Stegostoma tigrinum: one gene and its partner. The protein of the gene in region 1 purifies or fractionates together with the protein of each later gene. This does not show direct contact. Links are inferred from orthologs where the notes say so. Each region holds a gene or a part of one and is shown in the gene's direction. Other genes may lie near its edges.

What was found. The genes of interacting proteins can lie anywhere in the genome.
Region 2: the proteins of numa1 (region 1) and wdr76 purify together in Homo sapiens (affinity purification with mass spectrometry; 3 studies listed by BioGRID and IntAct, with this or other methods). This does not show direct contact. The link is inferred for Stegostoma tigrinum from reciprocal best matches to the Homo sapiens genes NUMA1 and WDR76.

What each region holds. Positions count from the first base shown.
Region 1 is NC_081359.1:110,955,942-110,962,803, forward strand, and holds the start of numa1 (nuclear mitotic apparatus protein 1), read left to right. Parts: upstream 1-3,288; 5' UTR 3,289-3,308; intron 3,309-3,463; coding exon of another isoform or gene 3,464-3,552; exon of another isoform or gene 3,553-3,717; intron 3,718-3,782; exon of another isoform or gene 3,783-3,975; intron 3,976-6,862. Other genes in the region: lrrc51 (leucine rich repeat containing 51), read right to left, coding at 3,464-3,552. UniProt on the Homo sapiens protein: Microtubule (MT)-binding protein that plays a role in the formation and maintenance of the spindle poles and the alignement and the segregation of chromosomes during mitotic cell division.
Region 2 is NC_081386.1:34,101,706-34,108,567, reverse strand, and holds the start of wdr76 (WD repeat-containing protein 76), read left to right. Parts: upstream 1-2,471; 5' UTR 2,472-2,677; coding exon 2,678-2,980; intron 2,981-4,224; coding exon 4,225-4,323; intron 4,324-5,290; coding exon 5,291-5,355; intron 5,356-6,366; coding exon 6,367-6,493; intron 6,494-6,862. UniProt on the Homo sapiens protein: Specifically binds 5-hydroxymethylcytosine (5hmC), suggesting that it acts as a specific reader of 5hmC.

The sequences.
Region 1 (6,862 bases):
CCAAAGTGGCTCCAACTAATATAAAGCTCCAGATAAATTACCAACCCCTTGACAATAAAGTAGCCACAGGTATGCCTGCATTTGTTGTTTGCAAACAAACCTTTAGGAAACTCCATAGGGGCATCTTGCCTTTCAGCTTGTGAGACTCTGAGCTTAGACTGGCCAAATGCACCAGGGAGCCCTTACATATTATGTATGATTTTATTCTCACTTGTATTTTACAGTAAGAATACAATAAAATACAGTGAAAAGGTTTCATTTGTTCCTGTGATTTGGTGCCATTTGAATAATTTAAGAATAAGGAAAGAAAAGATATGGCTTAGAGAGAGTCCATTACTCCTGAGCCAACTTATCACCATTAGCGGTGCCAATGCCGCCATCTCTCCTCCACTGCTTCACCGCTGTCTTCATAGGACACAACCAATATCAAAGTCACCGATCCTCAGGCACCATCTTTCGCCACTGGGCTGCTACTCCTCCACCACCATCTCACCACCACCTATGCCAGACCATCCAACACAGTCACATATTTTGCTGCTGGGTTCATTTCAATGTCGCTATGATGCTCTTCCACTACCGCTTTGCCGCCACCAGCCCTGGATCCAAACAACGATGAAGTCACTGATTCTCAGGCACCATCTCACTGACTTCACCTCTGCTGATAGAGCAGTCGCCAATTCCAATGCCAGGTCCTGTGTTTGCCCCCAAAAAGCAAGAAGTCACTCGAGGCCCACATCTGGCTCATTTGAGATTCATGCTCTCATGCTGCCAATGATGTCTGAGCTCTGGACAAAAGGTAAGCAAATGTATATAGGAGAGAGAAAAAAAGAACAAGAAAAGACAAAGAACAAGAAAATCAGTTGGAGCAGATGAGCTCCAGCTCAAGAACCCTATTCTGATGCCACCTTGAATGTAATTGAATTCAATTGTAATTGAATATTGGAACCATTATAACCTCAGTTATGGCAGGGCAGCAGATAGTCTGACTCCCTTTAGTGGTAGTGCAAGGGACAAGTCCCAATCTTTTGGGAAGGGATCTGCAACAGAAAATCTACCTGGATTGGCAACAGATTTTTAAAATGAGTACCAATGATCTATACAAAGTCATTAGGAAGTAACCCGAAATGTTTGAAGAGAGCTTTGTGAAAACTAAAAGGCACCAGAGCCAAGATCTACGTAGACCCAGAGGGCCTACCTGAATACTTCAAGGCATAACCAGTTCCCTTTGCTCTACATACAAAGGTAAAAGTTGAATTAGACTGACGAGGGGAAAGTGACATAATTCACCCAGTCCGATTTGCTGAACGGGCTGTGCCAATAGTCCCAGTGGTAAAAACCCCGCCCCGCCCCGCCCGCCCCCCCATCTGTCCCAGCCTGGGACCAGTCTATGCACGCCAGGAGTAGTGGCTCTATTTGATATTCAACATTAAATGATGTTTCTCTCCAGTTGGGCTTCCTCAGTTGTTACGCAAGGATATTAAAAGTAGCTACAGAGATAGTGGTACACCAGTTGTAATCTTCCAAGAATGCTTTGAACTTGGAAAAGTCCCAAGAGGACTGGAAATATAGCACCTTTATTTACAAAAAGAATATATTAATCTGTCAATTGAAAATATTAGTCCATTGTAAAAGGATGTAATGGTAGCACATTTAGAAATACATAATGATAAAACAGAGTCAACATGGTTTCATGAGAGTGAAGCCATGGCTGACAAATGTATTAGAATTCTTTGAACAGGTAACAAGCAGAATAAATAAAAGGGGAAGCAATTGATATAATAGATTTAGATGTTCAGAATTCCAGAAGTCATTTGATATGTTCGGCTACTTAGTAACAGCCCACGGCATTGGAAATTGAATTTAGCATTGACAGAGGATTTTCTAACTAATAGAGGGGGTTGGGATAAAGAGAGCGTTTTCAGATGGCAATCTGTAACCAGTGGTATGCCACAGGGATCAGCATTGGTGTCACAACTACTGATAATATATATGAATGACTTAGATGAGGAATATTATATACCCAAGATTTCAGATTACATAAAAAACATGTGGGTATGGTTTATGAAGAGGTTTACAGACAGGAATGAAGGGTCAGGCATTAGAATAGATGGATCTTCAATGACATAGTCACGATGGCCAAAGGCCTTCTTGTGGCATAAAATCTCTACCAAACCAAAAAAAAAGGTCCTTCGGCACATTGTGTCTGTGCCGGTCATCAAGCATCTTTCCTTGTTAGTCCCATTCTCCAGCACTTCTGTTCTAACGGCCCACAGCCTTCTGTTCTAATGCTTTGCAAATGTTCATTTATTAGATGTCTTGAAGGTCCTTACTTCTACCACGCCTTTAAAGCAGTGGGTTTCAGCTACCCACCCTCTTCTGTGCTGTAAAAATTGTATACCACTGCCAATTAGTATTATACTGTACAAGTCCAGTAAAAATCTTGCTCCTTGCCAATGTCCTGATGATTACAAGGTGAAAAGTTTTGACAATGTGTATTTTCTTTTTCGGCAACACTGAAGTTCTGATTCCAGCCTTGGATGATTGTGCAAACTCCATACTGACATTCTCCCTATGTTTCCTCCCACAGTCCACAAGTGCACGTTAGGTGGATTGGCTATGCTAAATTGCCCGATAGTGTCTGGGGATGTGCAGGTAAGGTGGATTTGCCATCGGAAATGTGTGCTTATGGGGATACGGTGGGATCAAGTGGAATGCTGTCCAGAGGGTCAGCACAGATGTGACGGGCCAAACGGCCTCTATCTACGTCTTATGATTCTACGACTATGTATCAGAATTTCATGAAACATACCCAAAGAAAACCAAATGGAGTGAACAGAGTGTCAGTGATAATGGGAACTGCAGATGCTGGAGAATCCAAGGTAACAAAGTGTGGGGCTGGATGAACACAGCAGGCCAAGCAGCATCTCAGGAGCACAAAAGCTGACGTTTCGGGCCTGGACCCTTCATCAGATTTGTTCTCTTGAACAGAGTGTAAACTGTGAAACTGATTAACTCAAGGTTTAGTCTGGAAGTGTGTAAAACGCCTAATAAAAAGGTGAGGAGCTGTGTGTGATATTGGATGGACCAGTGTCTACTGCGCGCTCTCACTTACTGAGGTGCTTCAGCACAACCTTCCTCTTTTGGCATCATGGGGTTGCTAGGGGCAACACGAGCGGTGGCTGCGCGTGGCCTACTGGAAGTTGTAGTTTCCGCGCCAGCAGCCACCCGCGGAGGGACCTGGCGAGGGACTAGACTCTCCAGCGTGACTTGGAGCGGTTGCGGCCAACCCCTGCTATCTCCTGATAAAGGTGGGCAGCTTGTAAACCCGAGAACCTTTTCAAATACTGTTCCTTTCCCGCGGCGGGTGAGCTATCCGTGGTCCGGTGCGCCACAGGAATGACGACGGAAAGAAACGACTGACGGACGGGACTACAAATCCCAGGGTGCCAAGATAGACACTCACCCGGCAATGTTGCGCGACGTCGAGGGCTTGGTGGTTTCCTCCTGTTCGTCCGCCACCCATTGATTCGTGTCGCTATCCACCACCTCCATTTCTATCGATCTGTTTGCCGCTTATCGCTCTAGTCAGCCATTGCGGCGGCTGCTGCTGCTAGAGGAGGAGGAACGGCTAACGACGAACTCCCCCGCCTTTTTTTTGTTGTGGCAACGTCATCACGTGTATTTTCCTCCGTACCGGGTTCCCGGATGTCAGAGACGACGCCAGTTACCCGGATTTGGGGGGGGGGGGGGGGGGGGCGGGAAGGTGATGTACGGTACCCGGATGGAGAGGATCACGTGCCCCTTACCCAACACCGGGGACCAATGGCGGCGCAGCCTGGGGAGGCGGGGCCCTGGTTTGAAAGGGTCGGGGCCCGGGAGGCCTCAGAAAATCAATGCCGAGGATCCTGCGGCCTAGTCCAGGATCGACGCGGCAGGCTGCTGGGGGTTAAGAGCTATTCGGAGTGTACGTCTGAGGTAAAACGAACGATTAAGGGTCGGGGTAGGCCGTTGTGCCGTTCGGGTCTGAGCCTGTCCTACTCCCACTGGATGGATAAATGGAAGGCCTTATCGTAAAGACATGTAGGGCAGGACCGCAGATGCCTTACTGTAAGGGACAGGTGTGAAGCAGTGGGTTTTAACAACCGGTAATGATGACCTAATCACTGAGACCAGGCGCTAAGTTCTGGAAAACGGATGTTTGATATGAGCGGCGCGGATACGAATAGCCGCAGGGCCTCTCCGTGTTGTAAAATAAACCCGATAACTAGCTTTCAATTATATTCTTCAAGGAATGTGGACGTCGCGTGCCAGGCCAGAGTTTATTGGCCGCAGGTTAGCTAAGAGTTGACTACATGTAGGTCAGACTAAGTAAGGATGGCAGATTTCCTTCTCTGAAAAACAGATGGGCTGTTTCCTGACTGACTTTTAACAATGGTTAATTCCAGATTCCACCATCTACCTTGGCAGGTCACCGGAACATTACCTGGCTCAATGCTATTAGGCCATTGGTTCCCCTTAATTTCGGACTGTTTGTTTGAGCATGTCAAAAAGATTGTTTTGACATGAATTTACGTTTGTAGTAACTACTGTGGTGGAATTTGAACCAATTTTCCCCCAAACAAATCATCTAGGGCATTTGAGGTTCTGGTCCATTGACATGACCACTAGGTTACCATTTACCATGAAGTTTCTTTATAGAAACATAGAAGATAGGATCAGGAGGAGGCCATTAGGCACTTTGAGGCTGTTCTGCCATTCTTCACGATCATGGCTGATTATCTAAGTCATTAGCCTAATCCTGCTTTCTCCCCATAACTTTTGATCCCATTTGCCCCAAGTGTTATATCTGATTGCCCCTTGAATACTTTCTGTGGTAATGAATTCCATAGGCTCACCACTTTGAGTGAAGAAATGTCTCCTCATCTCTGTCCTAAATTGACTACCCTGAAACCCCTCACTGTGACCCCTGGTTCTGGACACACCCACCATTGAGAAACATCTTCCCTGCATCTATCATGTCCAGAGATAATGGGAACTGCAGATGCTGGAGAATTCCAGGATAATAAAACGTGACGCTGGATGAACACAGCAGGCCCAGCAGCATCTCAGGAGCACAAAAGCTGACGTTTCGCGCCTAGACACTTCATCAGAGAGGGGGATGGGGTGAGGGTTCTGGAATAAATAGGGAGAGAGGGGGAGGTGGACCGAAGATGGAGAGAAAAGAAGATAGGTGGAGAGGAGAGTATAGGTTGGGAGGTAGGGAGGGGATAGGTCAGTCCAGGGAAGACGGACAGGTCAAGGAGGTGGGATGAGGTTAGTAGGTAGGAAATGGAGGTGCGGCTTGGGGTGGGAGGAAGGGATGGGTGAGAGGAAGAACAGGTTAGGGGGCAGAGACAGGTTGGACTGGTTTTGGGATGCAGTGGGTGGAGGGGAAGAGCTGGGCTGGTTGTGTGGTGCAGTGGGGGGAGGGGATGAACTGGGCTGGTTTAGGGATGCGGTGGGGGGAGGGGAGATTTTGAAACTGGTGAAGTCCACATTGATACCATTAGGCTGCAGGGTTCCCAGGCGGAATATGAGTTGCTGTTCCTGCAACCTTCGGGTGGCATCATTGTGGCACTGCAGGAGGCCCATGATGGACATGTCATCTAAAGAATGGGAGGGGAAGTGGAAATGGTTTGCGATTGGGAGGTGCAGTTGTTTGTTGCGAACTGAGCGGAGGTGTTCTGCAAAGCGGTCCCCAAGCCTCCGCTTGGTTTCCCCAATGTAGAGGAAGCCACACTGGGTACAGTGGATGCAGTATACCACATTGGCAGATGTGCAGGTGAACCTCTGCTTAATGTGGAATGTCATCTTGGGGCCTGAGATAGGGGTGAGGGAGGAGGTGTGGGGGCACGTGTAGCATTTCCTGCGGTTGCAGGGGAAGGTGCTGGGTGTGGTGGGGTTGGAGGGCAGTGTGGAGCCAACAAGGGAGTCACGGAGAGAGTGGTCTCTCCGGAAAGCAGACAAGGGTGGGGATGGAAAAATGTCTTGGGTGGTGGGGTCGGATTGTAGATGGCGGAAGTGTGGTAGGATGATGCGTTGTATCCGGAGGTTGGTGGGGTGGTGTGTGAGAACGAGGGGGATCCTCTTTTGGCGGTTGTGGCGGGGGCGGGAGCGGGGTGTGAGGGATGTGTTGCGGGAAATACGGGAGACGCGGTCAAGGGCTTTCTCGATCACTGTGGGGGGAAAGTTGCGGTCCTTGAAGGACTTCACCAGTTTCAAAATCTCCCCTTCCCCCACCGCATCCCTAAACCAGCCCAGTTCGTCCCCTCCCCCCACTGTACCACACAACCAGCCCAACTCTTCCCCTCCACCCACTGCATCCCAAAACCAGTCCAACCTGTCTCTGCTTCCCTAACCTGTTCTTCCTCTCACCCATCCCTTCCTCCCACCCCAAGCCGCACCCCCATCTCCTACCTACTAATCTCATCCCACCTCCTTGACCTGTCCGTCTTCCCTGGACTGACCTATCCCCTCCCTACCTCCCCACCTATACTCTCTCCACCTATCTTCTTTTCTCTCCATCTTCGGTCCGCCTCCCCCTCTCTCCCTATTTATTCCAGAACCCTCACCCCATCCCCCTCTCTGATGAAGGGTCTCGGCCCGAAACATCAGCTTTTGTGCTTTTGAGATGCTGCTTGGCCTGCTGTGTTCATCCAGCCTCACATTTTATTATTATCTATCGTGTCCAGTCCTGTTAGAGTTTTATAAGCCCCTATGAGACGCCCCCCCCCCCCCCCCCCCCCCCCTGTCATTGTCTGAACTCCAGTGAAAACAATCCCAACCTAGTCAATGCCACCCCATACGTTAGTCCTGTCAGCCC
Region 2 (6,862 bases), on another chromosome or scaffold:
CATCCTTGGGCAATCTGCCACGTTGTTGGGTAGATACCAGTGTTGTAACTGTACTGGAACAGTTTAGCATGGGGAGTGGCAAGTTCTGGAGCACAAGTCTTCAGCACTATTGCTGGAATGTTGTCAGGGCCCATAGCCTTTGCAGTATCCAGTGTCTCCAACCATTCTTGATGTCACATGAATCGAATACGCTGATGACTGGTATCTGTAATGCTGGGGACCACTGGAGGAGGCCAAGATGGATCATCAAGTCAGCACTTCTGGCTAAAGTTTGCTGCGAATGCTTCAAGCCTTATCTTTTGCACTGATGTGCTGAGCTCTTCCATCATTGAGGATGGGGATATTTGTGGAGCCTCATCCTCCAGTGAGTTGTTTAATTGTCCACCACCATTAACCACTGGATGTGGCAGGACTGCAGAGCTTAGATCTGACCCATTGGTTGTGGGATCGCTTAGCTCTATCACTTGCTGCTTTCGCTGTTTGGCGTGCAAGCTTCACCAGGTTGATCCCTGCACTCTTCATTGAACCAGGGTTGATCCCCTGGCTTGATGGTAATGGTTGAGTGGGGGATATGCCGGGCCATGAGGTTACAGATTGCGCTGGAGTACAATTCTGCTGCTGTTGATGGCCCGCAGTGCCTCATGGATGCCCAACCTTGAGTTGCTATATCTGTGCAAAGTCTGCCCCATTTAGAACAGTGATAGTGCCACACAACACGATGGAAGTTGTTCTCAATATGAAGGTGGGACTTTGTCTCCACAAGGACTGCGCAATAGTCACACTTAGCAATACTGACATGGACAGATGCATCTGCAGTTGGCAGATTAGTAAATGAGATCAAGTATGTTTTTCCCTTCTGTTGGTTACCTAGTTAGTGGTCAGAAACAGGACAGTGGAATGTAATGTGAAGTTATGCATTTTGGCAGGAAAAATAGAGCTGAATATTCGAAAAAAAAGTGAAAGACTAGAGGAAGCTCAGCATGGAAGGGAATCTCAAAATGATAGCGTCCAGTTTCTAATGGGAAGAGGGAATGTGAATGTAATGGTGATTTGTATTTCAAAGGGGAAAAGAAGTGTAATTTTTGTGTTTGGTCACCAGCAAACATCCCCATTTCTGACCTCATTGGACTATAGCTGGAATACTGTGAACAGTTTTGGGTCTTTTATCTGAGGAAAGATATACTAGCAGTGGAGGTTGTCTGGAGAAAATCGACTTGATGCCAGGTAGAGGGATTTTGAGGAGAGGTTAAGTAGGTTGGGCTTATACTTACTAGGTGTAGAAAACTGAGGGGGATACCTCATTGGAACTCAAGAATCTTAGGAGATGACAGACTAGATGCTGAGTGGCTGTTTCCCCTTAATAAGGGACTCTATGAACACAGCACATGATTTGAGAGTAAGGAATTGCCCATTTAGCACATGAGGATTTTTTCTTGGAGGATAATGCATCAATGGAATTCTTTATCACACAGTGCTGTAGAAGATGTTTCACTAAATAGATCATGGCTGAGAGAGACGGCTTTATAATCATTAGGGGCATCTAGATTTATGGCTAGAAGGCAAGAAAGTGGAGGTAAAGATTATCAGAACAATCATGTTTTCATTGATTTGTGGAGTGGACCCAATGGGCTGAATGGCCTACATCTAGTTTTACAACTTATGTTAAGAGGAAAGTGAGTCCAAATGACACACACTGAAGGCAGAGAATGACAGAAAAGGGAGCAAATCCTGAAACTGTGCTTCTGTTACTGTGGCACATCTTGCTCTGCACCCAAACATCGGAATTGGCCTGCTCAGTCTCACCCAAGATTCATGACAAAAACCTGCAACCTTGAGTAAGTATCATCCTCAAATCAAAGCACCGCAGATTTAGACAACTAAATTAACCCTTTATGAATTTAATAAAGATAACTCGTGACTACACTTCAATACCAAGACTGAATAGAATGGATGATAACATTACGTTTTTCTGAAAATTAGAAGTTTTAGCTATCTTTGTGACAGCTAACATTACCCAACTGTATTTTAAACATTGAACACAAACGGGTTGTTGAGGATTGATTTATTTGTCCCAACCAATGTAGAATATCCTACAACAACAAAAGCACAGAAGGAGCTGATTCACATCATCCCTTGTTCTGCCTCTTAAAAAGGGCTATCAGATAAGTTTCACTACCTTTTTCTCTTAACTAGTGTGCAAATTATTTCGTATCAAGTAATTTCTATGTAAAAGTTTCTTTACAACCTGCTTTCCATTGGTTTTTGGGGCAGTGCGTGCCTGATCCAAACAAGGCTCACTGGACTTGAAACACGAACTCTTTCTCTCTACAGATGCCGCCACACCTGCTGAGTTTCTCAAACAAGTTTTGTTTCTGTTTCAGATCTTCATTCGCACTTCTTTGTTTTATTTCACTGTTAATTGCAGAGTTTGGTCGTTTCAATCTTCTCCAGCCGCTTTTCAGGTGAGCTAGGTATCCCGGGAGGCATTGCGGTTTCTAAGATGGCGGATGTGAAAGTGTCCTATCTCCGGCAGCAGGAGGCGGAGCGCGGGAAATGTAACAATTTATGTAACATTTTATGTAAGGACTGAAAAGTTACAGCTCCCCCGGAAGTGGCCGCTCGGTGCCGACTTTTTTCCATTTGAAACCAGAAAATTGACCGCATTTCCCTCCGGGCCATGAAGCCCAGGGTTGAGGACACTGCACTTGGGCAGCAGCCGCGAGCAGCGGCCTCGGGAAACCGAAAGCGGCGGCTCGAAGCGGCCTTCCCCGGGCCCGGAGGAGGAGAGGACCCGGACAAGAAGCCCCCGCCCCGGCGATCAAACACGGCGATGACCCCGGCCGGGCCTGACCAGCAGCAAATGCCAGCCGCTGAGGAGGGCACCTCTTCTGGGCCAACAAGCCCTGCAGAGACCGGCATGAGCACCTCAGAGCAGAGTGACTCGGATGGCTTCAGCGCTGACGATGAGTTTCCTATGGCGGTAAGAAATTAGAAGTTGTTAACTGTTAGTTTAACATCTCTCTTGTAGCTATATGTGTTTTCACCTCCACTTTTTAAGACTGAATAGCAACCTACAGCTTTAACCAAGTCCATCTGGCCTTTTATACAAATGCAAGTTACTTTTGTACTTGGACAATTAATTAATTGTCCAAGTATGATGAGTGGGACGAATATCTAATAAGATTTTACCAATAATTTTTGCGTGTCGTCACGATTTGTTGACTCCCAGGACTCTGTCTCCGATAGCGAGCGGGAGGCTCCCACCTGTGCTGGTCCTGTATGTTTAGTGTTTGTGCGCAGTGCGGTCACGGTCCATGTGAGAGCAGTGGGGAGGAGAGGGGCTTCACTGTGGTTTGCCATTAACCAACCATCTGTAATGAAAAGTGTGCCATAGTTTATAGATATTTTAAAGCAATCTGTACGAACCTATTATGAAACATGTTTGGGGAAGATGGCGCTTTATTATGGACTTTCTAACACAGAGCTAGAGACACAACCGCTTCTCTACCTGAGCCGAGTCTTCCTTATTTATATCCTGAGAGTTGATCACTCAACTAATTACTTCAGTCTAATTAATAATTCAAAGAGTCTGTTCAGGTACAAAGTCCCAAATAACCACCTATGCCATTAGATTCTATGATTTTACATTATTTGGGGTAATTGGAGTAACATCAAACAAGGCTTTAAACTGAAAGAATAGGGGATGCTGGAAATCCAAAACAAATAGCTGGAGAAACTCGGCAGGTCTGGCAGCATCTGACTTCTGAAGAAGGGTACCTGGATCTGAAATATTAACTGTGCTTTCTCTCCACATATGCCACCAGACCTGCCAAGTTTCTCCAGCAATTTCTGTTTTTAAGTCTTTAAGCTTTCTGACTTTTGTTTTATTCCTATTACACTATGGGTTTTCGTATTGTGAATTGCTTTGCCTTGTTTAAGTGTACAACTGATGATCCAAGTTTGACCAGCTTCCATAAATGGGAAAACTGAGAGGTTAATTCATTGATGTGCAAATGTATTTCTGCAGTGCATCTTTGTCTTTCTCTTTAGAGCAACTGCTTTTGTCTGAGAGGACCATGCTTTCCAACTCCTTGCCACTGTCCCTCTAATGGCACCGAGTTGTTGCTGTTGAACAGATGGACCGAGATTGTTGAGATAGTGAGTGCACAGGAATCTATTCAAATGAGGAGTTTGTACCTGTCAATGTTATGTTTTTTGTTTTAGTTTCATCGAAAATCTGAGGAGCTGTCAGTGTATGAGAAGAAGCGACTGAAAAACATTCAGGAAAATGCCCGGTTCTTTGCATCTTTGAATATGCTGCAGGTAAATTAATGGACAGCAGCAGCTCAAGACCAGCTACCGTCTGCCACTATCCTCTGTTTCATTATTGCTGTTTATCACCAGGCTGTTGAGCTGAGTTGGTTCTGCTTATGATTTAAGTCAATCAAACACAAGATTTATTGTCTCTCAGGAAGTGGTTCAGTCAGCATGACTGCTCAAAACCACACCTGGGTGACCAATGGTTTTCTAGGATTTGGAGCAATGCTTCAGACAGTTTGCTGTCCTGGATAGTGGTGTACCACATCTCAAAGACTGATGTAGACTAAATGAAGGAAAACTGTTTCCAGTGGGAGGGATGTCAATAAACCGAGACGTCAAGGTACTTGATGAAAGAATGCAAGACAGAATGAGGAAACCTTTCTTTTTAAGCAGCAAACTCTTGTGATTAAGACCACCCTGTCCTAAAAGGTCATGGAAACAGATTGAATAGAGACTGTTGGAAGTTATTGCGTAAGATACAAGAGCAAATCATTAAGCCTTTGAGCCTCTTACCATTTTGTTCAATCTTTTACCCTGCTCACTTCCTTCAGTCCCAGAATAAGACAATTAAAGGGAACGTACTGAGCAGGGCTGTGTGAAAATAGAAGGGGAGTGTAATTAATTTGATAGGTTTGTGAAAGGATAGGGACATTGATGGGCCCAGTGTCCTCTATGCTAGATTACTCTAATTTTTTTTGGATCGAGCACATCTGAACATCACTTCAGCTCACACGTTTTCACAGTGGTCAGGATAAAAAGAGACAATAGAATTGTACTTACTGTGTTTTACCCTGGTCAAGGCTCAGACAGTGCGTTGGGGATACACCAGGCTGTCCTTGTCTGGACAGTCACATGGAGAGAATGTCCAGCAAGTCCTTCCTCTCACCTGGTCTGTCTTGAAGTATTTGGCACAGCAAAGTAAATTGTTCTCCGCTGATCCACAAAGGAATTTGCTCTCCTTATTTTACAGACTGCTGAAAAACTCAGAGAAATCAGTAAAAAGCAGCCAGTAAAAAGACCAAAGGCGCCTAAAAGGTATGATTTAGTGCGATGCAGTTAGAGGATCTGTGAAGTTTAGTATTATGTATTTTTGAATTGAGTCATATCTGATTATCTCTTGTGTTAGTTGGCTATCCAGTCCTTCAAGCCTAGTCTGCTTTTACACAAGTCATGGCTGTTTTTCTACCTTTTATTTTCTTTATTTGTTCAGGGGATGTGGGTGTAGCTGACTGGACCAGCATTTATTGCCCATCTCTAAATTGCCCAGAGGGCAGTTAAGAGTCAACCACATTGCTGTGGGTCTGGAGTCACATCTAGGCCAGACCAGATAAGGGTGGCAGTTTCCTTCTCTGAAGGACATCAGTGAACCAGATGGATTTTTTCCAACAATCGATAATGGATTCTTGTTCATCATTAGATTCTTAATTCCAGGTATTTATTGAATTCAAATTCCACCATCTGTCGTGGTGGGATTTGAACCCAGGTCCCCAGAATATTATCTGGGTCTCTGGTTTAACCGTCCAGCAATAGTACCACACGGCCATCACCTCCCCAAATTCAGCTTCACTTTGACTCCACGTGGCTGCCCTGTTCCATTGTATTCCTTTACAATGTCAGCACACATTGAGAGAGCAACATTAATAGGGATAATTTGATAGTGGAGCTTCCGAAATTTCAAAGGGAAAAAGATAGTTGTAAGAGTCTCATGATAAATTGTGGGGTTGGATAGCTGATAAAAATTGCATCTTACAGAAGTTATGTAGTGAGGAGCTGCCACAAAAATCCATATTGGATCTTCTAAGTCAAATTGATAAGTTGAGATTCAGAAATTCATGACATTTCCGATGATGTCAAACTAGGAGGGAAACTAATTAATTGTTATAAGCCAGTCAAGAAAATTTAAAATTAATCTGACACATGGCTTAGCAGCAGAAATTTCACAAGAAAAGCTAATTATCGATCTGTTGTTTAGGTGTATTTGTTTTATTCTTATTGTCCTATCATATGCAGCTTTATTACAAGTTTGGTCCTTTCTCTTACTTTCAGAAAGAAACTGCAAAGCTCTGGGCAGCAGCCTATAGTTCGCCGATCGATGCGTTTACTGAGATTAGACCCAGGAGGTGCCCCACTCCCAGAAACGCCAATAGAAATACAAGAGAAGGTGGAAGAGAGGGTGAGTCTCACTGTTTACATGTCTACGAATCCAGGATTTGTAACAGATTCAACATTTCTTTTGCGCTTGACAGGTTTTGATTGGACAGGGATGAGGTTAGTGCTGGGATAATCATCATAAAGTAGATACATGTTACAGGTGACATGGCTCTGTCACATGGCACCTTAACCAGAGCTGCAGGATTTTGTACTTTGGCATGATATTTCCAATTCCAACACCATCTGTCTGCGTGAGCAAACACCAGGGAGGGTGTTGGAGGGGGTTTGGGCAAGTATGTGTCTGAGGGAGATGGCAGAAAGCACCTGAGTGTGAGGGAGGCAGATAGAGCGTGCATGCATGTGAGGGAGACAACACAGTGAGATTGACTGA